2 linked regions of the Cricetulus griseus genome follow. The protein of the gene in region 1 interacts with the protein of each later gene in a pairwise test. Links are inferred from orthologs where the notes say so. Each region holds a gene or a part of one and is shown on either strand. Other genes may lie near its edges.

What was found.
Region 2: the proteins of Pde6d (region 1) and Rap1a interact in a two-hybrid assay, tested with the Homo sapiens proteins (2 studies listed by BioGRID). The link is inferred for Cricetulus griseus from reciprocal best matches to the Homo sapiens genes PDE6D and RAP1A.

What each region holds. Positions count from the first base shown.
Region 1 is NC_048595.1:438,214,611-438,217,232, forward strand, and holds part of Pde6d (retinal rod rhodopsin-sensitive cGMP 3',5'-cyclic phosphodiesterase subunit delta), read right to left. Parts: coding exon 2,553-2,622; intron 1,597-2,552; coding exon 1,491-1,596; intron 1-1,490. UniProt on the Homo sapiens protein: Promotes the release of prenylated target proteins from cellular membranes. Modulates the activity of prenylated or palmitoylated Ras family members by regulating their subcellular location.
Region 2 is NW_023276806.1:51,206,416-51,210,166, reverse strand, and holds the start of Rap1a (ras-related protein Rap-1A), read right to left. Parts: upstream 2,627-3,751; 5' UTR 2,512-2,626; intron 1-2,511. UniProt on the Homo sapiens protein: Counteracts the mitogenic function of Ras, at least partly because it can interact with Ras GAPs and RAF in a competitive manner. Together with ITGB1BP1, regulates KRIT1 localization to microtubules and membranes.

The DNA of each region.
Region 1 (2,622 bases):
AACTTGGGAGACAGAGGTAGGTAGATCTCGAGTTCAAGGCCAACCTGGTCTACATAACAAGTTCCAGAACAGCCAGGTCTAATTAGAGACCCTGTCTCAAAAAAATATTGTATTTTATCTGCATAGATGTTTTGCTTACATGTAAATCTGTACAACATACATGTGCCTGGTGCCTTTGGAGGCTTTAAGAGGGTATGGGATCACATGGAATTGGAGCTACAGAGAGTTGAGAGTTGTCATGTGGGTGCTGGGAATCAAACTTGGGTTCTATGGAAGAGCAGTCAGTACTTTTAACTGCTAAGCCACTTCTCCAGCTCCTCTATGTCTCATTTATACATTTGCTGTGGCTTTAATAAAGGATATCCTGTAGATGACCTAGGGTTACACAATTATTTGTGGGACTAAACTTCTAGACAACACTACTACTGAAACTTCTTTTTGGTAGTGCTGGGCGTAGAACTTACACATGTTGAGCAAGCTCTTTGTCACTGAGATACATCCCCAGGCCTATTGAAATATTTGAAAGACTCAATCTTTTCCCAGGAATATATGCTAAGTGGGCAGTTACTGACAATGTTTTCAGACTTTTATTATTATTACTGTGTATCTGTGTATGATGTGTGTGGTAGTGCAGGAGCATGTGGTGCATACCATGGTTCACATGACTCATGTACCAAGGCATACACCACATGTCAACTTTTGGAGAGCATTTCTCCTTCTAGCTTGGGTTTCAGAGATCAAATTCAGACCACCAGGTCTGTCCCATTAAGCACTTTTATCAGCTGAGACATCTTGCTAGCCATTGGCAGTTGTTCTGACAAACAAAGGAACTGTTTGTTGATCAGGAAGCAGTTAGGGAATCATAGGCCAGTTTCTGGAAGCCTATGCCCAGATGCTATCCTCTAAGATGGAGCATTCTGGAGATGTGGTAAGGGGATCCAAAGTGTGTATAGAGACTTGGTGAGAAAATGAACTTGCTAGATTTGACATCCATTTTGTGCTGGTTCTTTTCCACATTGTCTCAATTTTTTTTTTTTTTTTTTACCTTCACTGTATCCAAGAAAATAAGGCTCTGCAAGGTAAGACATCACCCAGCTTGGTGGTGGTACATGCCTTTAATCCCAACATTTGGGAGGCAGGTAGGTGGATCTCTCTGAATTCCAGGGCAGCCTGGTCTACAAAGTGAGTTTCAGGACAGCCAGGGCTACACAGAGAAACCTTGTCTCAAAAAAACCAAAACCAACCAACCAACCAACCAACCAAAGACATTATCACCCAAAGACAAGTCATCAGGGTGAACTGGAAATTTAAAACGTGGTCTAAAGATTTTGAAACTACTGTTTTTCAAGGTCAGTAACCCTGACACAGCCCTGGGTAATTTTCTGCTCTCACTTCTCTCTAGATTTCTGCTTGTGAACAGGGCCAGGAGTCCCACCTGCCTGAAAGCCTGTTTTGAGACACACTTTGAAATTCCCTGAGACCTCACTCACGTTAGGACGCTGGCGGGCATCATCTGGGACTCGGGTGCTGCTTCTATCAAGGACTGCCAGGTATTTGTGGAGTTAGGGATCACAAAGCCAAACTCGAAGAACCACTCTGAAGGAAGAAGGAAAAGCTAGTGAGCAAGTGCTATTGTGGGCACGGGAAACCATAGGCTATTTGTCCCTCTCCTTTAGAGTGGGCTCTTCCTATCCAGAATCATGAAAGGACTTATCAGATGCCTCCTAAACCAGAGGCATAGGAAAAGACACAGACCTTCACAGACCATCTTCTGATTTGTGCCACAGGCTTCTTACGCCCACTCCCCCTCAAGGCAGGGTTTCTCTGTGTAGCTCTGGCTATTCTATTCTGGAACTAGTTCTATAGACTAGGCTGGCCTCAAACTCAGAAATCCACATGCCTTTGCTTCCTGAGTGTTGGGATTAAAGGCATGTGCCACCACTGCCTAGCTAGGCAGTGTTTTCTTTTCTTTTTTAGATTTATTTATTTATTTATCATGTATACAGTGCAGGCCAGAAGAGGGCACCAGATCACATTACAGATGGTTGTGAGCCACCACGTGGTTGCTGGGAATTGAACTCAGAACCTCTGGAAGAACAATCAGTGCTCTTAACCCCTGAGCCACCTCTCCAGCCCCAGCTGTGTTTCCTTAGGAGTAACAAGATGTGCACTAAAATAGAGATAGAGAGCCTTTTGGAATTTTAGCTTTATGGCGCCTACATGTTCTCTTACATTTGAGAACTACTCAATGCCGGGAGTCCCTACTAGTTTCAGCTTATGATGTGCAGGTACAGCTCTATACTACACTTCACCATAGCTGCTTCTTCCAAGACCACATTGTAATACCACACCAGATACAGGCACAGGTACAGGCACTCAAGCTTCCAGTGTCAGAGAGCTCAAAGCCCCTTTTGTGTCCAGCCTTGTTTGTTTTCACTGGGGATGCCCAGTTTGTAGACATTCTATTAGTTATAAAATTAGCATTCTCAAAGCATCTGCCTTTTGCCCCATCCTCCTACACTCTGGCTCCAGGCACACATGTAGCAGAATACCTTCTAGGCATTGCCCTTTGAAGTAAACTTTTTGTTCCAGGCGGAATTTTTCCATTTGCTCTGCAGAAGA
Region 2 (3,751 bases), on another chromosome or scaffold:
TATGAGTCCCAGTTACTTCTCTAATCTCAAGCCCTCTTTCTCTCCCCGTTTACTGTTCTTAGACCACACTGGCCTCCTAGCTGCTCTCAAAAAGGCCATGTACACTCTGAGGTCTTTGCACTAGAAGCCTTTCTTCCTGGGGTCTCTTTGAACACAAGGGAGCACACATCCCTCTCTCACTTCCTCCAGGTCTCTGCTCCAGTCTCAGGTCTTTGCTGGCAGTGTTTTCCTCTAGCTCCGCACCAGTCCTCTGTCTTCTGTACAGCTCCATCACCTGGCACTCTACATTTATTTGGGAATGAATGGTCTATACCTCATGACTGATGGGATGACAGCAAGAACTCTGTTTTAGCCACACAGCAAACATGCTTAATGAACTGATATGGCATATTTTCATAATTAACTACACGAAAACCATGCATATAAACAAGCTTGAAAGAGAGAAAAAGAAATTATTTGATTTTCAAATTCTCCTATTACTAAAAAGTAGATTTACATGTAAAAGCCTAATTAGTCATAATTATGATTTTAAAGGGCCAAAGGATACTAGGGAGTATTGGTTTTAAAATGACTGTGGGTTAGGACTGGGGATATAGCTCAGTGGTAAAGTGCTTTGCCAACTAACTGTTCTTGTAACTCTGGGTTAGATCCCCAGCACTACAAACAAAATGACTGCTAATAAATCGGTTACCTACCATGTGTGAAGCTGGGGTTGATCCCCAGCCCCACATGCACCAGGCATGGAAGCACATACCTAACCAAGCACTCTAGAAGTAGAGGCATTAGAAGTTCAAGGTCTTCTTCAACTGCATTACTGACTTATACATGAAACCTGTTTGGGGGTGGTGGTGGTTACTGAGAACATAAAATTGTAAGACAATCACTCTTAAACCTTGTTATCAAATCCCCAGAAGTTCAGGTGAAGACACAATCACAACCAAAGGCCACAAAAAAAGTACACTTTTGTAAAGTTCTAATAAGAAACTGAATAATATCTGGGATTTCAGTTCACTTTTAAAATAAGTGTCTATGGGGGACTTTAGAGGAGTCCTGAAACTGAATGCAAAATTTTGTGCATAAATGTCTATTTTGTTTTTCCTGGGCAAAAAAAAAAAAGAGCCCATATTCTCAAAAGTATCAGTTTAAGAATGACATTTTTAATTAATGGAAGTGAAATGCAACATTTAACATAAAGATACCTCTCAAAAAGATATGAGATGAAAATCAGACACTGAACTGAACCATTCAATTCATTTAACAAATGTTGGGACACATGTAATCCTTGACAAAATGAACACAATCATAACAAAATATGAAGTGTCAAGGAAGCTAAACAAGATTCACTGAAACACCACACTAAGAAAGCATATTCAACAATATAAATTTAATTTTGAAACAAAGTGTTACAGAAAAGCATAAAGACAGAAAGGAATCTGGGGCCTAATCTAGCACTTATATCAAAGTGTTGCAGAATTCAATTACATCAAAAGAAAAGAAAAACTACTCATAGGCATACCCACCCCCACACATTCTGACAGGAAACTCAAAGAAAGTTTCCAAATCCTGTTTCCAGCATCATCTCTTGTAACTGCCTACTTTCGAAGGCAAGCTACCCTGGTTAATTTTGAGGGTCGACACTTTGATTCTAAGAAAACCAGAACGGATCTTCTGCCACCCAAGAAGCAGAAACCAGTGGCTGGTACCTGTAACGCTTGGCCCATTAACCTCCTGCCCTTTTATTCCATTTCTTACACAGTACTTCCTTCAAAGCAGCGACAAAACGATTTTCCCTTCCCAACGGCAACACACTGTTCCTCAACGTTAGTTCTTTTTCCAAAGGATCAAAGGTCCCCTAAACTCTGGTTTTCCATCCTGTGAGGAAATCTAGGGATCTATTTTTTTTTTTTAGGCACAACTGTCCTGCCTTACTCTTCTCCTTACAACAGCAGATTACACAATTCAGCCGCAGACACTGTCCTTAACTTTCTGAGTGAGACAAGCCACGATCCCACCACCCCGACACGCCTCACACACCCTCGATGGGAGGAAGACAAGAATCACACCGTGGCCTCTACCCTGACAAAATGCAAGGGAAGCAGCAGAAACCAGAGAGGAGAGCAACGCTGCAAAAGCGAACACATGGCAAGCCGCAGAAGACAGAGGGCAGGGAGGGCGGGAACCCGGCTGGCTGGCGGCGGAGTGGGACGCGGAGGTGTCAGCGCTCGGAGGCCGGGGCAAAGGCCGCACGGAGGGCACTGCACTTCCCCGGCCCCGGGGACGACACCTCGGAGCGGGCGCGGACACGCGTCTCCTCTCGCGGCCCGCCCCTTGCGGCCGGTCCCGCAGGCCCGGCCGGGCGGCCTCGGTCCGCGGGCGTGGCTGGCTCCGGCCTCCAGCCGCGGCCCCTCCCGCCCGCCAGCCCCCGGGCCGTCGCCCGGGACTCGCGGGCGGCTATGAAGAGGTCACCGAGGCGCGGCCAGCCCGCGCCCCCCATTTGAGCCCCGCACTCACCCCGCGGCCCGGCGCCTCCTCCACCTCCTCCTCCTCCCTCCTCTCCGCCGCGGCTCGGGCTCGGGCACTGCGCGGCGGCGGGCGGCGGCGGCCTCGGGAGCGGCGGCGGCGGCGGCGCCTCCGGAACGCGCACGCACGTAGCACGCAAGCCCCGCCCACAAGCCCGGGCCCCGCCTTCTCGGACGCGGTTTCCCGTGTCTATTTAAAGGAGCCGCGCTTCAAAGGATGGGGACTGTGGAAGAATAGTGTGCAGAAGGCAACTGGGGCCTCGCCTCGAGGAGGTGGTTAAAGCAAAAATTGAAATGAGGAAGGACCAAAAAATTCAGAGAGAAGAGAATTTTGAGGGGATGCAATCACTTGGCAGTTACTAGTTGAGCACCAAATAGGTGCTTGACTCTGGTCTAGGCATATACAGGGAAAGTCACTTTCTAGAGCTTTCATTTTCCTGAGCTGGGAGAAGGAACACAACAATAAGCAAGTAGCAAAAATCACAGGCCACCAGAGGAGCTTTGCACACTTTCGCTCATTCTCCGAAGAAGCAAGTTTAGCAAATCCAGAGTCTGCATGAGAGGAACATCACTTTGAGGCTGAGAGAAAATCAGCAAAAAAACAAAAAAACAAAAAAACCCAGAGTGGAGATGTGTCTGCCATATTAAATGAATGGCAAAAGGCAAATGGAAGGGTGGATGAACAAAGGCTATGGCCAAAGAACAGAGTAGTGAGACTCCTAGATTTATACACACTAGACCCTGTGGAGCCTGTGGTCTATTGTAATGGCCATAGGAAGCCCTGAGGAGAGGGTGGGCCCCAAATGACTGTATCTAGTTTGTGTTTTTAGAGGTTAGCATTATTCAGGGTGTGGTGTCTCACTCCTGTAATCCCAGTATTTTGAAGACTGGAGCAGGAGGATTGCCACAAGTTTGAGGTTAGCCTGGACTACCTAGTGAGTTTCAAGCTCTTTGGGGACTAGAGTAAGTCTCGCTGTGTATAAGAAATACACGATAGAAGCACAAATGTCCACAGGGGCAGTTTGGTGAGTGGCTGTTCTTGTCACTTTGGACAAGAGTGGCAGCAGAGTGTAAGGTGTTATTTTATTTTAGATTATTTTTTATTTTTGATATTTTAGTTTTTTGTAATTTTTTTATTAGTTCAAATTAGGAACAAGCTTGCTTCACATGTCAATCCCTTCTCCCTCTCCCTCTCCCTATCCCTCCCCTCCTCTCCTCCCCTCCCCCTATTT